Diceros bicornis minor: one gene and its partners. The protein of the gene in region 1 purifies or fractionates together with the protein of each later gene. This does not show direct contact. Links are inferred from orthologs where the notes say so. Each region holds a gene or a part of one and is shown in the gene's direction. Other genes may lie near its edges. The genes, in order: NAP1L1, NAP1L5 and MAGED2.

The links.
Region 2: the proteins of NAP1L1 (region 1) and NAP1L5 purify together in Homo sapiens (affinity purification with mass spectrometry; 3 studies listed by BioGRID and IntAct, counting the BioPlex papers as one, with this or other methods). This does not show direct contact. The link is inferred for Diceros bicornis minor from reciprocal best matches to the Homo sapiens genes NAP1L1 and NAP1L5.
Region 3: the proteins of NAP1L1 (region 1) and MAGED2 purify together in Homo sapiens (affinity purification with mass spectrometry; 4 studies listed by BioGRID and IntAct, counting the BioPlex papers as one, with this or other methods). This does not show direct contact. The link is inferred for Diceros bicornis minor from reciprocal best matches to the Homo sapiens genes NAP1L1 and MAGED2.

The regions. Positions count from the first base shown.
Region 1 is NC_080764.1:43,366,297-43,373,838, forward strand, and holds the start of NAP1L1 (nucleosome assembly protein 1-like 1), read left to right. Parts: upstream 1-4,477; 5' UTR 4,478-4,582; intron 4,583-7,542. UniProt on the Homo sapiens protein: Histone chaperone that plays a role in the nuclear import of H2A-H2B and nucleosome assembly.
Region 2 is NC_080747.1:72,637,176-72,644,314, reverse strand, and holds NAP1L5 (nucleosome assembly protein 1-like 5), read left to right. Parts: upstream 1-4,596; 5' UTR 4,597-4,643; coding exon 4,644-5,171; 3' UTR 5,172-6,616; downstream 6,617-7,139.
Region 3 is NC_080781.1:45,253,164-45,260,978, forward strand, and holds the start of MAGED2 (melanoma-associated antigen D2), read left to right. Parts: upstream 1-4,735; 5' UTR 4,736-4,802; intron 4,803-5,348; exon of another isoform or gene 5,349-5,425; intron 5,426-6,309; 5' UTR 6,310-6,338; coding exon 6,339-6,383; intron 6,384-6,778; coding exon 6,779-7,252; intron 7,253-7,815. UniProt on the Homo sapiens protein: Regulates the expression, localization to the plasma membrane and function of the sodium chloride cotransporters SLC12A1 and SLC12A3, two key components of salt reabsorption in the distal renal tubule.

The DNA.
Region 1 (7,542 bases):
CTTGAGTAGACTTGTGTTTTAGACCTCGGCTTTGGCAATGTAGATCAGAAGGAGTAAGAGACTGGCATAAGGGAGACCAATTGCAAGGCTACTGCAAATAGTTCAGGTAAGAAATGTTGAAGACCCACATAAAGGAATGGTCTATTTTCTGCCTAAGTGGTCTATTTGTGAGAAACAAGGAAAAAAAAGTAAAATCTGGGAAGGTAGAACCATATTTGGCATGTAAATTAGAAAAAAAAGTCATAAAAAGGCAACAGAAGGGATCCTTGAGGTGAGGGAACTGTTTTGTATCTCCCCTATAGTGATAGATATAAACTTACACATGTGATAACACTGTATAGAACTAAACACACAAACACATATAAGTGGATCCAAGCGAAACTGGGGAAATCTGAATAAGACTGTGGACTGTTGTTACCATCATAGTAGACTAGGTAAAGTTTACACGGATCTGTGTTATTTTGTACAACTGCGTGCGAATCTACAATCATTTCAATAAAAACTTCAATTAAAAGTGATACCAAAATAATTTTCAAACGAAAAAATCTATTAATCCATTTTGGGATGTACAGGAAGAAATTTAAGGCAACTTGTCCACAATTCCTTACTGGAATTTTGATTAATTTTATGTTGCATTTATATAATAATTGGGAAAAAATGGAAAAAAATAAAACCAACCAGATTAAAAACTAAGATAACAGTTATTTAAATGTAATTTGTGCAGTTTTTAGATGATTATTATTGGTGCCATTAGATATTTTACATACTGAGTAATTGGGAGGGAAGAAAATGAACATTTATTGAGTACTTAATGTACAAGTCATTGCTCTGGAGGCTTGGCTTACATATATTTCTCTATTTCACGCTAATGAAGCGGCAGATTTTATTAGAATCATTAATGTGCTTCACAGATGGGGAAGCCTAAAGGTCAGAGTGTGTAAGTACTTTTGTGAGGTCACAGTGTTGGGATGAACCCACGCCTGACTTTCAAGCCCATGCACTTTCCTACTTAGGGGCTGAAATACAGACACAAGCACACTTAAGGTATTGTATCCATCATTGACTTGTCTGGCTGATCTCTACAATGTCTGCATCCAACATTTAGAAATGTGGAATATAGTCCTTTTGTGGTAATCAGTGTGGATTACTTCAGCTCAGGAAAACACGTTTTAAAATTTATGATAAGATAGCTTCTGATAAAATATTTCAAAATAGTAGTGTCAGATACTATTAGAAAACTTCAGGGGAATTCTCTCAACCTTTAAATAAAACAAAACCTCATTAAGAGATTTATATCGTTTAACTTTTATTGAGTATTTACTATATGTCAGGTATCATGTTAGGCAACTTACATGTTATTTAAAATTTCACAACAAAATAGGGACAGAACTTGGGCTGTTTGACTCCAGAGCCACACTTCTGAACCACTAGGATACAGCGCTGTAAAAATCTACCAACGTGGGTCGGCCCCGTGGCTTAGCGGTTAAGTGCACTCACTCTGCTACTGGCGGCCCGGGTTCGGATCCCAGGCGCGAACCCACACACCGTTTCTCTGGCCATGCTGAGGCCGCATCCCACATACAGCAACTAGAATGATGTGCAACTATGACATACAACTATCTACTAGGGCTTTGGGGGAAAAAAAAAGGAGGATTGGCAACAGATGTTAGCTCAGAGCCGGTCCTCCTCAGCAAAAAGAGGAGGATTAGCACGGATGTTAGCTCAGGGCTGATCTCCCTCACAAAAAAAAAAAAAAAAAAAAAAAAATCTACCAATGCAAATAATGGGGGATGAAGGAAAAAGGAACTTTAACTGAAAGTTTAGCATGGTCCAAGATCAGTGATCAGAGCCACTACTTATTGTAATTAAATTAGATGAGTTAATACATCATGTGATTTGGGATCTAAGAGAGGTCAATTGTGAGAAGCTCAACGGCATCTTCAGGTCAGTCACCTTCTACCACTTTGTCTCATTTTATTTTCTTCATAGGTCTTTTTTGTGTGTGTGTGAGGAAGTTCAGCCCTGAGCTAACACCCGTCTCGAATCCTCCTCTTTTTGCTGAGGAAGATTGGCCCTGGGCTAACATCCGTGCCCACCTTTGTCTACTTTATATGGGACGCCACCACAGCATGGCTTGACAAGCAGTGCGTCTGAACCTGTGAACCCCGGGCTGCTGCAGCGGAGCTCGCGCACTTAACCACTATGCCACCGGGCTGGCCCCTCTTCATAGCTCTTTCACTCACTAATATCTAAAATTATTTCACTACTTGTCTATCACTTGCCTCACCTAACCAGAACATAAGTTCAATAAAATCAAAAACCTTACGTTCCTTGTTCAATGCTGTATTTCCGGTGTCTCAAGTTGTTCCTGACATATAGATATTTGTTGAATGATTGGCCTTCCCTGAACTTGAATGGTAGAGGTTTAGATTTACAAACTGTGGTTCAAAAGATCACATTAAAAGGCCTGCATTATTAGCAATTTATTAGTGTTTTGTTTCTTAGATTGGCTAGATGCACTGAAAGAAGGGGAGGAGGAAGCTGGAGGAAGGAAGAGGAGGCTAGAGAAAAGGAGAAAGAGAGAATATAAACTGGTAATGATAAGCCTTTAAACATGGGAGTGGGGTTGAAGCATCAATGCCTGAAATTGGTGGGGCTCTCTGGAGTGGGATAAAAACTATCATGAAGGCTAACTTCTCAATTTGGTCTCTGAAGTTCTGCCACCACAAAGATTTATGAAGGTGAAAGTTATGTAGTTCATTTTTAATATGCTAATTACATTGCATTCTGCATAGCTTTGATTACAATGCAATGCTCTTGAGGGTTCCACTGAAATTAGTGCCAAGTTTATGTACATATTCAGCACTGGTCTACCTAGTTTATGTATTGTGGATTCTTCATAAGGAGTCATCACTGATGTCCATCCTTGTTAGCCTTACATCATTGTCGAGTAGGATGTATATAAAGAAAGAAGGTTGAGAAAAACAAGAGTCATATATGAGGAACCAAAACCAAACTGAGGCATCTGAAGCAGAGTGGGAAAGGCAACTAATTTCAATGGGGTTGGAGAGTGCCAAGGAAAAAAATCCTCTCTGTAAAATGGAATAGAAAGTTGCTAAACGTGAGAGTTACAACAGAGGATTCTAGGCAGTTTGAAGTTCCAAGGAATGCGACATTCAGAGAAGAGGTTCTCAAACTTTTTGGTCTCAGGACCTCTTTACACTCTTAAAATTGAGGTCCCCAAAGAACTTTTATGGGCATTATAGAAACTAATATTTATCAGATTAGAAATTAAAATTAAGATATTTTAAGAGTAGTTACTGTTTCATTTAAAAACAATAAACCAATTAAATGTTAACATGAGTATCTTTTATATGAAAACTAGTTTCCAAAACAAACAAAAAAAACTGAGTAGACTGGCATTGTTTTGCCATTTTGCAAATCTCTTCAATGTCTGGTGACATCCAGCAGATGACTGGATTCCAATATTTGCTTGTTTTCAATGTTTCCATATCACATGTCAGGTAGCCTCTGGAAAACTCCACTGTACACTTGTGAGAGAATGAGAGTGCAAAAGGCAAATAACGTTTTAGTATTATTATGGAAATACTTTTGACTTCTCCCTTAAAAGGGTCTGGGGACCCTCGGATCACACTTTGAGAACCACTGTTTTAAGAGTCAATATTAGTCAATCCAGCATCAATTAAAAGACAACCGCGAGGTTTCACAGGCCTAAGGATTTACATTTTCAGAAAGATGAAACAATAGAGTGTCTCCATTATAAACCATCCAGAGAATACACCGAAATGCCATTTTCACCCATCAAAAGAACTAAAGCAGAAATGAGGGATCGTACCTCAAATAAAAGGACGGAGGAGTAGGTTTGAAGAGCATCCCCCGAAGCCCCAGAGACCTAGAGTTAGAAGAAGCAAACCCGGCAGAAGACGCCGCCGAGGTGGTCAGGAGGAAAGAACTGTTGTTCTTAGGGGGAAAAATGGGCGGGGAGAGAAAATGGTTACCGGGGACCAGGGAGTTGCAGGAACGAGGCCGGGAGAGGGACAGGCACGAAAGAGCGCTGGTCGTCAGGATGCGGCAGGCCGGGACTGGGCAGGGTCCCCCGCCCTCAGTCCTCCCAGCACCGCGCCGAGGGGGTGAAGTGGGCCGGGGGCGAGGCGCGCAGGTCAGGGCCCTTCCCGGGAACGGAAGGGGTTGAAATTTCCCTTCCAGCGCAGCGGGGAGAAAAGAGACGGCGGGGCGCGTCGTACGGGGCGGAGGCGGGAACCCGAGGAACCCAAGCGCCGCACAGACGTTGTGGAAGTCGCCAGGGAAGAAGGACGGTTCTGTTGCTAGGCAACCCGTCCTGGCCCCGCCTCCTGCTCGCGTTGCTGGGAGACGGCGAGGCCGGGGGAGGGCGCGGAGTCGGCCCTACGTGCTGACGCTAATTGTATATGAGCGCAAGCGGCGGGCTCTCGGGTCTTTTTTAGCGCCATCTGCTCGCGGCGCCGCCTCCCGCTCCTCCCGCCGCCGCCCTGAGTCACTGCCTGCGCAGCTCCGGCCGCCTGGCTCCCCGCGCTAGACGCTGGTAACGGATGGGGCCTGAGGGGAAGGGGCACGGAGAGGCGGCCGGGGAGGGGAGGGGGAACGGGGGCCGAGAGCGGGGCGGCCGGCCGCCCGGGCCTCCTGGAGGCTGAGCCGGAGCCGGCCGTGGGGTTTCGGCCCCGCAGCCTGAGAGGCCCCCGGCCGGCCGGCGCTCCCTTCGGGTCCCGCTGAGGAGACGCGGGGTCGGTGCGGCCTGGAGGGCCGGGGCCGGCTGGCCTCGCCGCGCTGCCGGAGCCCACCGTTTCTCCGCGCGGACGGCAGCGAGGCGGCGGCCGCGCCGCTGGGGACCGGGAGGCGCCGGGGCGGGGGCCGGCTCGAGGCGCAGCCCACCGCCGGCCGACGCCCCCGCTCTCAAACTACTACCCCGAGGGAGGCCGCGGGGGGATGGAAAGAACGGCGGAGGCTGCGAATTCCGACGGGAGGGAGGGGCGGTGAAGGGCCAGGCCCCGCGGCGGGAGGGGCGGTGAGGCGGCCGGGCTCCCGCCCACCGGGGGCGGCGACCGCGCCGGGAGGGGAACCCCCGGCGGTCCTCGACACGTGGCCGCCGGGCCGGACGGGAGACCCCCGGCCGGGCTGTCCTTACTTCCCTCAAAGTTGTAGCGATGGTGGGATGTGGAAATGAATAGTGAGCGCGTAAGTCCAGCCCTTGGGTTTCCGACTCCCCCTTGCTTTTCTTGGGTCCTGATCTTTTTATGGGTAACGGAGGAAAGTGTGCATGTTAGGTGATGGGTGATGAAGCAGGGCCTCCACTGCCGCGATTTGAAAGAACTACCGCGTGTAAAGCGCTTATGTGAGCCATTATTAACAAAAGATTTTCTTGTGTACTTCAAGTACGGTTAGAATTTGGATGGTTATTTTGACCAGAGTTTTTTATTTGGGGAGAATTGATCCTAATCAATCTAATCCTCTAAACGGTTCTAAGAAATAAAGGATTAGGCCTGAAATGTCTTTAATTTTTCTAAGACTTCTATTGCTTTCTTACAAATTACTTCTCTTATTGAAGTTGCCAGAATAAGATACTTACCTGGCTGTTTTGTTTTTAAGCTGAGTAGGGGTATGGAGGAAGTATGGGGTGGAATGAGGCCTTAATGTAAGTTTGTAGCCTGCTGCCTTGTCAGTGCCCTCACTTCTCCCTCAAAAAAGGAGGCAGTGAAGGGAGGCGGGGAATGAGGAGGCCCTGTCTGGGAGGGCTGGACTTGCGGAGTACAGAAAGAATGAATCGGGCACAGGATGTCCTCAAGGAGCCCTTATTGTAGACTATCACTGTCCGGTTAGTTCTGTAAGGACTGCGCTTTAAAATCTCACAACTTAACACGGCCTGTCTGGTTTCAGGAGAGCTGAGCTGTAAAATGAAATTTGCCATTTTTGAAAATAGCATTAAAATATTTCAAATTAGTATTTAGGTTCTATTTTTGTCAGCTTTAATTAATACTACTTATGTACTTACTTAGGAAGTGATAGACCTTTGATTGGATAAGGGAAAAACTTTATATGTAGAATAACTTATTTAAAACTGATGGGAGGTAAATGAGGTTTACAGTGATCTTCTGGGACTATTAAGTCTCATGCTTGTTCACAGTTGCCGGAGTTCAAATTAAGGGCCCAAATCTAAAATGTGTGATTTACTTCTTAAGACTGGTCCTTTGGAGGATAGATGGAACTAAATATTTGGTTGGTCGACTTGGACATCTATCATTATAAAAACCTTGACTTCATATATTGTTTTTTCGGGTTAGTGGTATGTTAATTTGATAAATAGAATTTAAAAAAAAATTCACCATACCAGTTTGAAAATCTTTGTAAATTTCATCTGTTGCAAAGTACCTATTTTTGATATTGGGCCTATTGACAGAAAATTATTAAGCTAATAAGTTACTAAATGTGGCCCATGACTGTTCTCATCCTGTAGAGATTAGAGAAGACAAAAAAACTCAACACTTGTACCAGAACTAATTTAATTCAAAACGCTATTGCTCATTTTATTATTCAACTTTCCCATAGTCTGTGGGTGACTGATTTGATTCTAAACTCCCAAAATATATTCAATAGAGTCCTTTTGTAGGAAAAGGTGCTAAAAGAGGCAAAATCTGTTTGACTTCAATGTATGAAGATGATGTCAAAAAATTACTTTGTTCATTTTTTTGCTTTGTTGTAATTTTGAAATATTAATGAAAGATAAGATTAGAGGAAATGAATCTTGATCAGTTTTGAAAACTAATGATCCATCTATTCAGATCCTTAAGTCTAATTAAACCTGTAATTAATTACTTGTGTTCCCAGTTGATTCTTTGAGTAAATATGTTAGCACCTATTTGGACTTGTACCTTATATCTTGAGCCAAACAGGCAAATTGGTTGTCTGAATATAAAATGTCAAATTGTGATGAGTGCTAAGAAGAAAAAGAAAGTGGGGCAAGTGAGGGATAGAGTAGTATTTATAACATTTGTTCCATGAAGGATCCTGTTATAATGGTGATATTAAGTCCCATTTCATACTAATTTCATCTGAATAAGAAGTTCTCTCCTTGTTGGGCAGAGTAGGGTTTAGAAGGTGAGTGCTGTTTGTTCACTCATCCTTGTAAGTTGTTTATTTAGTACATTGACAGCAGACCACTAGATCATATTAGTGGGCTTCCCGCAGAAGGTGCACTCTAGGGCCGGCCCCGTGGCTTAGCGGTGAAGTGCGTGCGCTCTGCTACTGGTGGCCCGGGTTCGGATCCCGGGCACGCACCGACGCACCGCTTCTCTGGCCACGCTGAGGCTGCGTCCCACATACAGCAACCAGAAGGATGTGCAACTATGACATACAACTATCTACTGGGGCTTTGGGGGGAAAAATAAATAAATAAAATTAAAAAAAAAACCTAAAAAAAAAATGAAGGTGCACTCTATACTTCTGCTTACCAACTCTGCCTTTTACTGCTACATGATTTGATACATTTTT
Region 2 (7,139 bases), on another chromosome or scaffold:
TCCCGACCACCTTACCAAAGTGTCCTCCCTTCCCCCATCTTGCTTCTTTTCATTTCCAGTGTGACAGGAGCGTGAGAAATTACAATATGCCAGGGCCAGCTCCGTGGCGTAGCGGTTAAGTGCGTGCGCTCCGCTGATGGTGGCCCAGGGTTTGGATCCTGGGCGCGCACCAATGCACCGCTTGTCAGGCCGTGCTGTGGCGGGGTCCCACATAAGGTGGAGGAAGATCGGCATGGATGTTAGCTCAGGGCCAGTCTTTCTCAGAAAAAAAAAAGAGGAGGATTGGCACGCATGTTAGCTCAGGGCTGATCTTCCTCACAAAAAAAAAAATTTTTTTTTAATTAAAAAAAAAAATTACAACATGCTGAGATAAAGACCTCATAGCACAAGAGCTCATCTACAATATACACAACTATGTGTTACTGCTACCCAATTACACACTAGAGTCCATAGAGCCCACAAAATGAGACAACTCTTAACAAACTGACATAATCTTTTGAACACGTAAATTTAAAAAAGCAGGTACTGTATGCATTGCCAATGGTTTTTAGAAGTCTGAATCCAAACTGTAGTAAGGATCTTTTAAAAAGTTTGTCAAGCTGATTCCAAAATTTATACAGAGAGGCAAAGGAACTAGAAGAGCCAAAACAGTTTTGAAAAAGAACAAAGAAGACTCACATTACCTAATTTCATGACATTATTATAAAGCTACAGTTATCAAGGGTGGTATCTGTGAAAGGAGAGACACATACAGGCATACCTCGGAGATACTGTGGGCTCGGTTCCAGACCACCACAATACAGTTAATATCGCAATAGAGTGAATCACACAAATTTTTTGGTTTCCCCGTGCATAGAAAAGTTATGTTTACACTATACTGTAGTCTATGAAGTGTGTAATAGCATCATGTCTAAAACAACAATGTACATATCTTAATTAAAAAATACTTTATTGCTAAAAAATGCTAACCATCATCTGAACCTTCAAGCAAATCATTATCTTTTGGGTGGTGGAGGGTCTTGTAAAAAACTCAGTATCTGCGAAGCACAATAAAGTGAGGTGCAATAAAACGAGGTATGGCTCTAAATCAAGGCAACAGAAAAGAAAGTCTAGAAACAGACCCAATGTATATGGTCAATTAATTTTTGACAAATTTGCAAAATAAATTCAGTGGAGAAAAGATAGTGTTTTCAATAAATGATACTAGATCAACAGGATATCCATATGCAAAACATATATATCCATATACCTCACACTTACATAAAAGTTAACTCAATATGAATCATAGTCTAAATTTGAAACAAAAGTATAAAACTTACAGAAGAAAACATAGGAACAAATCTTTACGGCCTTGGATTCGACAAAGATTTCTTAGATGTGACACCAAAAGCATAATCCATAAAAGAAAAATTTTAAAAATGGATTTATCAAAAAATTTCTGGGGCCAGCCTGGTGGTGCAGTGGTTAAGTTCAGCGTGCTCCACTTCGGTGGCCTGAGGTTCTCAGGCTCAGATCCCAGGCATGGACCCACACCACTCATCGAGCCACGCTGTGGCAGACATCCCACATTCAAGATAGAGGAGGATGGGCACAGATGTTAGCTCAGGGCCACTCTTCCTCACCAAAAAAAAAAAAAAATGTCTGGTTTTTAAAGACACTGTCACAAAAATGAAAAGACAAGCCACGGACTGGAAGAAAAAGTTTATAAAACTTATCTCACAAATGACTTGTATCCAGAATATATAAAAACATTTAAAAACTACTAAGAAAGCAAAAAACTCAATTTAGAAAATGGGCAAAAGATCTAAACAAACATTTTAACAAAGAAGACATATGAATGGCATGTAAGCACATTTGAAGATATTCAATATCATTAATCATTAACGATACCATCACAGCTATTAGATTAGGGAAAAAACCAATGACCCTAAATGCTGGTGAGGATGGGGAGCAACTACAACTCTCATATATTGCTGGTGAGAAAATAAATTGGTACAGCCACTTAGGAAAACAGTGTGGAAGTTTCTTAAAAAGTTAAACCTCCATGTACCATATGATCCAGCAATTCCACTTCTAGGTATTTACCCAAGAGAAATTAAAATTTACATTCACACAGAAACCTGTAGATGAATGTTCATCACAGCATTATTCAAAACCACAAAAAACTGGAAACAACCCAAACTGGAATATTATTCAGTAATAAAAAGGAACAAACTATTAATAGACACAACACCACAGATGAATCTCAAATGCATTATGCTAAGTGAAAAAGGCCACTCGCAAAGTCTACATACATATGATTCCTTTCATATGACATTCTGGAAAAAAACAGAATTATAGAGACAGAAAACAGATCAGTGGTCACCGGGGCTGGCAGTAAGGAAAGGACCATGAAGGAATTTTTTGGGATAAAGTTACTGTGCTACATCTTGATTACTGCAGTGTTTACCTAACTGTATTTATTTGTCAAAGCACCCTAAAGAGGGTGAATTTTATTACACATAAATTATATTTCAATAAAACAGACCTTTGGAAAAAAGTAGCCTAGCTTAAAACTAAGTTTTAAGATTTTTCAAGATGAGAACATAAAAATCGTGAAAGATGAGCACATTCAGGTTGTCTCAAGCAAGTTAGTCAAACGGATTTGATTAAAATTTGGGCTTTTTTTCAAATCTGTCACAACTTCTATACTATAGGAGTTAGAAGGCTTGGTTTCTGCCCCTGATTCTGCCAATCAGGTGATACATACAGTAACAGAATATTTACTTCACTTTATTTTTCTGCTTCTAAGTTCTTTATCTTTAAAATGAGAAAAAGCATTCCTAACCTCAACGTAGCTGTAGCCATCAAGAGATGATATATGAAATATATGGTGATATATGGAATACGTATAGTGTCAGCCAACTAAATATAGACATACCATTACACCAAATTCAGTCAGGTCTAAGATGGAAATTTTAGCCTTAGCAATAAAACTCAGTCATTACAAATGGTAACAGGCAAGGGGGGAAAATAAATGATCCGGAACAGAATCAAGAAAGTAAAATAAACAACAGAAATCACACGTACATAAAAAACTACGATGTTTGCTAGGGGGAATATATTGGGTCTTTTGTAAACAGTTACTTTCTTTGGGGAAGGGCACAAAGATGTCCTTTTCTAAAAGAGAATATTATTGCAGGTTATCTTTGCATATTAATAAATGCAATTATTTTGTTAAAAAAAAACCAAAACATTTATCAAGTGCTTGCTGTGTGTCAGCATTAAGTGTTTTACATATTATTAACTACGTAATATTCACAAGACACAAAAGATAGCACGAAATGTATATTGGGAAGTAATTTCCTAACATTTCATATGCTTGGTGAAAAAGTTTCAGCAAGTCTCAATATAGTGCAAGAAAAGCATTTAAATCAGGAATGCTGAATTTGAAGACATTTCTGAGGAATTTCTGGAAGGATCATTTGTCTTCTATACCTCAAATATGTGCCCTCATCCTTATTTAAGAAGCTATCGTTTTGGTTTAATAAACAAAGTAAAGAACTAAAATATCTACTCACTTTGCTATTAAAATACAAGAGTTCGCTGGCTATTCAAGATCTTTTTCTTATGTTCTCAGATACAAATCACAGGCCAGACGCACAGAGCAGATGCTGAGCTGTGGAACGCTCTGGGGACAGCGGCTGTGTGTACACGTGTCTGCCGCATGTCCCCAGGGAACCGCAGGACTAAGCACACGCTTCAGCGGGTAAGCCGCGGCCCCCGCGCTGGGCCGCAGGCCTTGGAGGGCCCTGCCGGTCTTTGGCCCTCCTCCAGCTTTATCCCTCCCCACAGGCCAAGGACACTGAGGGACCTCCTCAAACACATTCCAGGATACCCGGGGTCCTGAGGCTCCCCATCCACACGGCTCCCAAAGTGATTCCGGGGTCCGTCCTGCCGAGACAAGACCTCGCCACCAGGATATATGCCGCTAGGCTGAGAAACGGCCAAGGGGGCTGCTGGGTGGGCACAGTGACATGCAAGCTGCCCACCCACACACATGCACCCAGGTCCCAGAGCGGGTGGAATGGAGTCAGCTCTCCCGTGCCTCCACATTCTGGAACGGAATTCGGAGGAAGCTGAGAGGTGCCCAAACCGACCCCACAAGAGTAAGCTAGAGACACCCTACCACGGCAAACCAACACCAGCCCCGGGTAGATGCGGACAACGGCCAAGACAGACGTACTGACAGATAGATGTATACAAGGACCTGGGTGGGACAGAGGAGCAAACTGAAAAAGGCTGAAGCCAGCCAAGCGGTTCCTGAGACAGAGCCTCGGCCCCCGCAGCCATTCCCACACCGGCTCCACAGGGGCGCAGGTACGCGGGCCGACTGCGGGCGGGGTATCCAAGAAACGGGCTCTGACGTCGGCGGCAATGCCCGGGAGCCCGCAGGGTAGCAACAGCGGAGAGCCGGCGCAGCAGTGGGCACGGCAGTCAGCCGTCCCGGAGCCAGTCAGCGGCCGGAGTCCCGAGGGCGGGGCCGCCGCCGACGTCACGGCCGCCGCCGACGTCACGGCCTCTTGCCGCATCCGCCAGATCGCCCGGAGCAGCTCCGGCGCGGGTCTCTGCGGGAGCCCCGACACTGCGGCTTCTCCTCCGACATGGCAGACGCGGAGAACCAGGGGCCAGCCGAGCCCAGCCCGGCGGCGGCGCCGGCAGAGGCGGCGGCGGCGGAGGAGGTAATGGCGGAAGGTGGTGCGCAGACGGGCGACTCTGACAGCGCGGCCGGTCAGACGGCAGAGGAGCCCCAGACCCCTGCCGAGAATGCACCAAAGCCTAAAAATGACTTTATCGAGAGCCTGCCTAACTCGGTAAAATGCCGAGTCCTGGCCCTCAAAAAGCTGCAGAAGCGATGCGATAAGATAGAAGCCAAATTTGATAAGGAATTTCAGGCTCTGGAGAAAAAGTATAATGACATCTATAAGCCCTTACTTGCTAAGATCCAAGAGCTCACCGGTGAGATGGAGGGATGTGTATGGACCTTAGAGGGTGAGGAAGAGGAGGACGACGACGAGGAGTACGAGGATGAGGAGGAGGGAGAGGAGGAAGAGGAGGAGGGGGAGGCTGCGGCGGAGGGTGCCAAAGGTGAGGGTCCCCACTCTGCCTTGTCTGATGACGCCAGAAAATAAGCGGGGCAGAGACTGAAGAGCAGAATGACGACGAAGACAAAAACGCTACTTTTTAAAAATATTATGTATATATGGGTGGACTTAAAAAAGGCTCAGGTTTTGGACCAAAATACAATGTGAATCAATCCTGACATTCCCAAAAATATATTAAATTGAAGCAATCAGATCCTGGCCAGCCCGTTTCAAATTTGATTTTCATTTGGAACACAAATATATCAAAAGATGTTAAAGAAAATGTGTTTAAAATAATTTTTTCATGATGTCTTCTTGAGGACTGGAACTGAGGCTTATTAAGGGTGTCACGTAGATGTGAAGTAAAGAATGTCACTTTGAGACTCATTCATCACACTATCATCACATTACACACGGAACACCCAAGCCAAGACTGAACATGTTCTCAATGCCTAATTCTTCATTAGTCCTGAAATTTTCCAGTCCAGAACCCAAGAAAAGTCCCATCTTTAAGACTTTGCTTTTGTAACCCAGACATCAGCTTTACACTTAGAAGAGTGATGGAACCAAGTGTGTGATGGAGATCACGACAGTATTGTTAATAAGCCTGGAAAACTGCCACTTCAAATTCTAAAGAATGTTCTGAATATTTGAATTTAGAGAAACAACATGGTTCTGAGAAGGAGGGTGTATAACCTGTATAATATTGTCAACAATAATGTGTTCATTATTTACAGTGTCATATTTATGTGTTTTCTGGGTAGTGTCTCTTTACAAAAGTGTAAAAAAAAAAACCCCAAATGTTTAAGTATTAAATCCCTTTACCTAGCATTTTAGAAATATTAATTTACTTGAAGAGATGTAGAACGTAGCAAATTCTGTCAAGCATGTGTATCCAGTGTTATGTAGTTTGATCCTTGTAAAGTCTTTTTGTCCTGTAGCTTTTAAAATGTAGCTGTGAAAATTATCAGAACTTTTCACTGAAGCTAATGTTTGGAAAAAATATATACTTGAAGAACCAATCCAAGTGTGTGTCCCCACCCCCAGCTCAGAAGTAGAAAGGGTTTAAGTTTGCTTGTATTAGCTGTGCCTTCATTATTTTGCTACGTAAATGTGACATATTAAATATAAAATGGTGCATAATCAAATTTTACTGCTTGAGGATAGACTGGCATACAGTCAAGGATTTTTAGGAAGGACACATTTAATATAAAGACTCTTAGCTTCTTTGTGGATTTTGAATTGCCTGTGACCCAGTGATCTATAAACATAAGCATAAAGTTGTTTACCACTGTGGTGTTAATAAAGCAGTATTTTCCAAAAACAAAGGGACTCGGTACTCTGCCTGCCTGGAATCAAATCCCAGCTCTGCCTCCTATTAGCAATGAATCTTGGGCAATTCACTTAATCTCTCTGTGTTTAGTTTCTCCTCATCTAGAAAAGGGCATAGTAACAGTCCCTTCCTCACGGGTTATTATGGAGAACAAGTGAGTTAATACACATAAAAGCCCACAGAACATACTAAGTGCTGCAGAAATTTCAGCTATCACTATTATTATTATTACTACATGAAAGATAAAGACACTGATTGGAAATTCAATCCTCCTTGTCTCTCTAGTTACAAAAGAGAAGAAAATGGACATCGTTATATTCTTAAGTTTATGCTTCGTTATTGTCAGAGAAAAATGTGGCCTTTAATTCAGAAACACAGGAAATTCAAAAACCTATCTTGTTTTGGTTTCCTCAATATAAAAATCAGGTTTTGATATCCTCCCAGAAAGGATAAAAAGGCTTTCATGTGACATTATGAATATACAAAAAAATGCTATTTCAACTTTACATTTGGGCATTCTGAATGAAGTACAAATAATAATAAAATTAAAGACTCCAAAAAATTTTTAAAACTCAGATGCATTTTCTTCCATTTCCCTTAAGAGTTAAAATTAGACAAAAGCAAAATTTAGACTGCTTTACCTTAGGGAATGGAAGGCAGCTCTGACCTATGCTAATGGCAAT
Region 3 (7,815 bases), on another chromosome or scaffold:
ACACTTTATGACAATATTAAAATGGGTGTATAGACGTCCAGTTCGACTTGCCTCCACAGAAGAAAATCATCATATGTTTATGAAGAGAGTTGGAAAGGATTTTCTGGGACTTCAAACATCGGCGGTAGTAGAGCATAGTGGGGAAGGCTCTGGTATTTGGCATTGCACTGACCTGGATTCAAGTCCTCTCTCTGTCATTTGCTAGTTGCTTTGCTATAGGCAAGTTACCTCCCTCAGTCCCAATTTGGTCTTCTGTAAAATGAGGTTAATGTTCATACAGTAGAAATGTAAGCCCCTGAAGAGCAAGGACCACCTCTGTAGAGGTGCCTAATACGTAGTTGGTGCTCAATATCTGTTGACTGGCCCGAACCTGCCTCACAGGCATGTGCTGAGGAAGGACTCAATGTGCAAAGAGCAGGGGAGAAGGAGTGTTAGCCCAAAAGTGGGTAGCCAGTTTCCTCATCTATGGGAAATTTGCCTTTGGTTTAACAAAATGTAGCCATTTTGGTTGTGGAAAGATAGCCCTCAGGGTTCAGAGTGATACAAAATGTATTAATTGTCCTGCACATAAAAGGAAGAAAAAAAATGATATTCCACCAGCAACTCAAGAGAGAGGATATAGGAGCCTGGAAATGGAAAGGAGGGGAGGTGCCCCGTCCGTATTTTGGGGGACAGAAAGGGCCCAACTACAATGGGGAGTGGGGCCCAGGAGAAGGGACAGTTATTAGGCCTTTCCCAGTGGTGGGAATGGCTGAGGAAATGCGAAGAACAGGAAAGTCTGATGTCCAATTTTAAGTTGATTGCTATGGTGTGCTGTACGACTTAGACGACTACAGAAGTGATAGGTAGCTTTGGGAGGAAACTTTTGCCACCTACTCCAAGCTTTACCTCTGTATATTCCAAAATTTTCAGAATTTTGGAAAATTAAGAGGTACTGATTTTGTATAGTTTAGAGGAAGGAAAATGTGTTAGGAGAAGATTGGTGGCGGGTATATTCTGGGCTTCCCATTTAAGCTTCAGGGGTCTGAAATCTTGGATGTTCTGGGATTAGGCAACTTTATCCCCTGACACTCTGCACTAAGCAATCTTTAGCCTGCTTTTCCTCATCTTCTTAACAGAGATGCCTGATGATAACTCAGCTTTTCATCTTTGCCCTTAGTTGATATGCAGGATCTATATGATCTCAGGTATTTACCTGCTGATCTATGAATGTTGGAAACTGATCTGGGACCCAGTGACCTAAGTTCTTCAGAGTTTATGGGTAGATGCTGAAGATCAAAAGATTCCAGGAGTTCATAAGGAGAAGGTGAGAGGAAATCTCTTTGGTAAAAGGGTGAAGATTATGAATGAATTTTTCTTTTCTCTCTTGATAAGGTTTTCTCTTGTCCTCTGATCCCCAGGTCATAAGATAAGGGTAGTTATAGTATTGTGTTATGAAGGTGGTGGTATTGAGAAGGGACTGGGAAGGTTGGCTTTGAAAATCTGTGGGAATACCTCTCTGATGGACTTGGACTGAGATTTTTCCCGAGTCCCTTGAATCTCCTAAGGTTCTGACTCTGTATTCCTTTAAAGTTACTCCAGGATCCCAAAGGCCACAACTAGGACTTAAAATGCTATAGAATTTAAAATGGTGGATGTTGTAACAGAGGGTAGATGTAACAGAGGGTGTTCCATGGGGAAGAAATCGTATGAGCAAAGGCTCCTAAGCAAGAGAAGGCAGGGTACATCTGGTAATAGCAAAGTGTTTTGTTTTGTTGGAATACAGGTAGTGCTCAGAAAAACAGAAAGAAAAAGGCTGGAAAAGGAATCAGAACTAAATTTTGGGAGAGCCTTGAAATCAGGCTCAGGCATTTCTTTAAAGAGTTGTCATCACGCACTCATTGTCATGAATACTTCACCTGCCACTCACATCTCAACTCACTACAATCATGAAACTGCTGCATGGCATAGACTTCCAAATAACAATGGTTTAAATAAGACATACCTGTGTTTATCTCACCTAAAAGAAATCCAGAGGTATGCAATCCAAAGTTGGTATGGTGGCACTATGATATTATTAGAGATCCAGGTTCTTTTTAGTTTACTGCTGCACTATTCTTAGGGTGTGACTCTTGTCCTTATGACGTTTATCCCAGGAGGCTATGTGTTCAGCTAAAAATCACATGTTCTATTACTAAGGAAGAAGAAGAGAATGGATATACTGGTATAAGCAGTTAGCAATCTATGCCACAAATGTCTGTACTGAAATTATTCCCTCTGAGGTCACCAGGGACCAGACCACCACCTGATTATTAAAATCCCTAGATATTTTTTCAGGACTGTTCTTGACCTCTTGGTAACATTCAACACTATTGACCCCTTCCTCCTTTTGAAACATTCTCTTTCCTTGTTTTTGTGACACTACTTTCTTCTGCTTTTCTCCCTATCTCCTTGGTCACTACTTACCCATCTCTCTCATGGGCTCCTTTTCCTCCACCTATGCCCGGAGTCGGTGGTCTCCAGGGTTATTCCTTGGGCCCCATCTCTTCTAAGACTGCACACTCTTCCCAGGTGCTCTTGCCCTTTCCCACGGATTAAAGAACCATTTACATACTGATGACTCCTGGATCTATAACCTTAGCCCAGACCGCTTTCCTGAGCTTCAGATATCTATATCCAACTGCCTGTGAGACATTTCCACTTGGATGTCCCACAGGTACCTCAAAATTGATACTCAGTTCCCCTCCGTTAGTATTCCATATCTCAGTGAAAGGGGTCCACACATTTTATCTCTCAAATCAGATCCCCAAGAGTTTCCTTTGACACTTCCCTCCTCCTCACCCCTTCCCTTACCTGGATGACTACTCTCTCTTTCCAGGAAGACAACTAATCCATACTCCTTATGGTTTAGGCAGCTAGGGTGTTCTTTCTAAAACACAAATCTATGTCTTATCCAAGCCTAGAACCCTTCAATAACCTCTCAGTGCTCTCAGGATCAAGACCAAAGTCCTTACCTCGGCATTCAAGGCTTGCCATGATTTGGAAGGGATGGGAACTTGGGGCACTAGAACTGGAAGAAAAGGAGTGGCTGTGTCTAGTATGAAATAAAGCCCTGTGCCCGGGAGAGAGAACCTAGGAGGCAAGAAAGTAGTGAGCTATATCACAAACTTGGAGGAGGCAACAATTCAGGGAAAGAGAGGAGTCAGGAGAAAAGAAACTCACTTTGAATATCTGGGAAGTGTGTGTGTGTGTGTGTGTGTGTGCAGGCATGCGTTGAATTATCCATAGAACATAGGGATTCATGATATTTTATTTGCTTAGTAAAGGAAAAGGTGACCTCATAAAGCAGAAGGTTTATGACCATTTGAATTACTTTTGGATGTAGGAAAGGTATTGAATATTATTTCTGTAACTGACCACTGTGCTAAATTTTATTATGATTTCTAATAATTTTTTACTTGATGCTCTCAGGTTGTCCAGGTCTGCATTAATACACTCTGTAACTAATGACAATTTTTTCTACTTTCCATTATTTATACATCTTATTTTGTTCTCTTTAATAGACCCAGTTACTTATGTGAATTTATTATGATAAAAGTGCCATTTCAAATCAGTGGTGGAAAAGATTGATTAATTTGCATATGGTGTAGGGATAAGACACTATGATTTTGGAAAATAACTAAGCTGAATCCTTATACAAAACAAATTTTGGAATGATCAGACATTTAAATGTAAATGATAAAGCCATAAAAGTGCTTGGGAAAAAGACGGGAATTGTTACAATATAGCAGTGTGGAAAGGATCTCTAAGCATGAAGCAAAATCCAGTCATGATAAAGGAAAACCTGATACATTTCACTACATAATAACTAAATCATTTTGTATAGCAAAGATTACCATAAATAACACGAAAAATACTTGTAATATATGTGACATAAATGTTTGAGAGACGTTGTTGGTGGGAAAGTTATTCCATATACCTTTTGAGAGTAAGTTGACAAATTTTATATCAAAATGGAAAACATTTTTGTAGCACTTGAGTCAGCAAAAAATACCATAAATAACAATAAAAAGAAGCCCAATACAGAGACAAGGATGTTCCTTGTAGTATTATTTGGACAGTAATAGTAAAAAAAACTAAAAGAAAAGAAAAGGAAACAATGCTAAATATCCATGTATCCTGGTCTGATTGAATAAATTATGGGACATCTATACAAGAAAAGATGATGCAGCTGTTCAGAAAAATGCGCACTATGGAAAGCTGTTTAGAACACATAACTGGAAAAAAACTAGGTCTAGAACCTACTAGAACTGTAGGTACAGCGTACCACTTGTGGGGAGAAAACCCAAATAATTAGTTTATGAATAGAAAAAACTCTGGGAGGAATATATATCAAAATGTTAATATTTCTGGGGGATGAGATATGGGTGGTATGTTACATACCAATGAAACACACCTTTCATTGGTATGATACATATTCCTGCATTATTTGAATTTTCACAACGACAACACATTAGCTTTGTAATACGAAAAAATAAAGATATAAAAATAAATACATTCAACGTATGAATCGCTTTGAGGGGGTGGTTTTGGTTGGAAGGGCTTCATACCGAGTCTGGTACAGTGGCATAAACACGGGCTTTGGCGTCAGACGGCCCTGAACCGGGCCCCATTGCCCCACCCCCGAGGAAGGAGGGGGGGTGGCAGGGGGCTGCGGAAAGGGGCTGGGCTGGGCTGGGCTGGCTGCAGCTCTAGTCAGGAGGCTGAGACTTCCAGAGGGACTGAGAGAGGGCAGACGCATCCCGGACTCGCTCGAAGACAAGGTGAGGGGCGTTAAGATTGGGGCTTCCTGGCAGCCAGACAGTGGTTCCAGCCCCCTCGAACCTATAGCCAGGCAAGTGGGCAATTCTTACTGCACCACTGCTGCTAAGGGAGAGGTGACCTGGAATGGGATGTAGGCAACAAGGACGACCGAGAGACTACTGGGGAGCAGAGACTAGTGGAGGAGGAGGGGGAAACAAACGGGGAACTGGGCATGTTGGGTGGCAGACGAAGAATATGAGGAGGAAGAGGAATACTGAGGGAAGTGGAAATCCAGAGAAGAAAATAGAGGATGCAAAGAAGGGTTAAGGAATATTGGAGGAGGGGGTGCAGAGGTAACACGGAGGAGGATGTAAAGAATGGGAATGGGGAATTCGGTGGGGTAAATAGGAAATGCGATGGGGGAATAGGGAGCAGGGAGCAAGGCAGAGGGAATACGGGTGAGGGGGGCGGGATAAAGAATGAGGAGCACAGAGCGGGGGAAGGGCAGACTGGCTGGGACGGAGGCACCCTAGGGAGGCGGAAAGGGGCGGGACCACTTCCGGCCTGGACGGGGGAGGGTAGTCTCTGAGTTTCGGAGGGGCTTGGAGAGAGAGAACGCACTCGGGAATTGCGGACGGACGAGGTGAGCAAGCAGGGCCCTGCTCTGGATCAGAGCCCCGTTAGGGGTCGGCCCCACCCTCTAGGATCTGGAGAAAACCTGCTGTAAGGACCGGATCGTACCGGATCCATCCGGCTGGGAAGGGAGGGGACTGGACCCGGTTTGGCTGGGCCCAAGATGGAATCGGTAGCTCAATACTGATTTGAGGAGGGGGTGTATTAGGGAATGGGCGGAACTAAGAGGCGCTTTGCCCCAGTTTGGAGGGGGGCGTGTTATGAAAAGGGGCGGGACCGGGTGAGTACTGTGGATTTGGTGGGGTGGGTGTGAATAGGGGAGGGGCCGGGACCACCAGACACTGCGACAATTTGAGAGGGAGGCTTGTTGGGGAGGGGGCGGGACCCAATGGTACTGCAGACCTGGAGAGGGGCGTGTGTTGGGACAGCAGGCTGGGCTGCGTCCGTGATCATTGCGCATGCGTACTATGGATCGCTAGAAGGGGGCGTGTAGAGAAGGGCAAGCAGAGACGGGCCAGCTGCCGAATGCGCATGTGCACGGTGGACATCAAAGAAAGGGCTTGTTCTGAGAAAGCAGGCGGGGCTGAGATGGGCCCCTGCAGCGGACGCGCATGCGCACTCTAGACCTGCGCCTGGGGGCGGCGGTGCACTGGGAAAAGGGGCGGGGTCCTCAGAGCTGCCGCGCTGGCACATCTTCCTGGAGAAGGGGAGGGTGCGGCTGCAGAGAATTGAGACTTAGACGCTCTGGATTACTAATCTGTGAACGAAGTCGTTGGGGGTGGGGGAGGGGTTTGGGATTGGGGTCCTGGGGAAGGTGAGGATCAGCCTCCAGGCAGAACAGAAGAGAGAACGTTCAGTGGGCCCTTTCCTTGACCCAGGCCTTCTCTCCTTCAGGTTCAGTGCTTGCCAGGCCAACTTGAGATATGTCTGATACAAGCGAGAGTGGTATGGGCCCAACCCGCTTACAGGTAAGGCCTCCTTCTGTCCTCTCCCTAGCTGCCTTTCCTCTCCAACCCCTGTTGCTGCCCCAAATCCGTTGGCATCTCCCCTCCCATTCTTCCCCTTCTCCACCCACTTCCTTGCCTGGGTGCCCCCTACCCCAGTAGAGAGAGAGAGAAAGGGAGAGAGAGAGGAAGGAAAGAGGGAGGGAGGAAGGAAGGTGGGAGGAAGGGAGGGCAGGCCTGCCCCTCTTTTGCCATCAGTTCCTGCTCAGAGGAAGGGGAGGCCTTGTTGGGCTGAGGTGGTCAGAGCACACTGCAAGGGGTTAGTATAGGTCAGAAAAGTGAGGCCCTGGAATTTTGGAGCCGTTTGCCTAGTTGGGGGTAGGGAGAATGTCTGTGAGCTTCCCTGTTTCCTCTTGTAGGTTGATGCTTCAGAAGAGGACAGTGGCTTGAAGATGCAGACCCTATTGACAGTGACCCAGAACTTGGAGGTCTCAGAGACACCGAAGGCCTCAAAGGCACCAGAAGTCTCAGAGGCTGTGAAGGTTTCGAATGCTGCAGCCGTGTCAAAGGCCACAGAGGCTGAGGAGGCAGCTGCCACTCAGGCCTCACCTACCACTAAGCTGACTGATACCCAGGTTCTGGCAGCTGAAAAGACGAGTCGAGCAGCTGACACCAAGATGCAGAATGCTGACCCTCAGGCTGTGACAGTGCCTGCCACTGAGACCAAAAAGGGCAGCTGTGTGGCTGATGCCAAGGTCAATACAAAGGCTCTGGAGACTGAGGCTGTTGCCTCTCAGGCTCTGGCAGATGAACCTGAGCCTGAGGGTGCAGCTGCCCAGGCTCGGGAGAATCAGGATACTCGGCCCAAGATCAAGGCCAAGAAAGCCCGAAAGGTAAGACCTCTGCAATCATCACCCTTACCTTTCCACTTCTCTCTTCTTAGTTGGTTCATTTGTTCTGCAAACGTTTAGAAAGTTCCCTGTGCTCATCAAGGCTGTGGGAGACACTAAGAGGACTATGATATAATTATATGATTCCTGTCTTCAGAGAGCCCACAAATTGGTGGGGAGATGAGACAGGAATATGCACAGCTTCAATCTGAATGTAATGCGGTTTACATTTACATAGTAGCTACCATGTGTTAGGCCTTGGGCTAGGCACATTCACACAGGTTATCTCATTAAATCCTGAAAGTTATCCAGTTTTATAGAGAAGGAAACTGAGTCCCAGAGAAGTGAAGTGACTTGAGTGATTGGTCCAGAGTGGTATAATCAGAGCCAGTGGTGGACATAGGAAGAGGAGAAGCCTCTGGCCCTACCCTTGGGTTGCTCCTGGCCTGGTGGGGAGATGAAACTCCTACTAGGAAACCAGTGAAAGACAAACCCAAGACTCAACATGGCCAATGTGTAGTGAGTCAGGCTATTACTACAGGGGTGGGATTAGAGGGGGTTTCCTT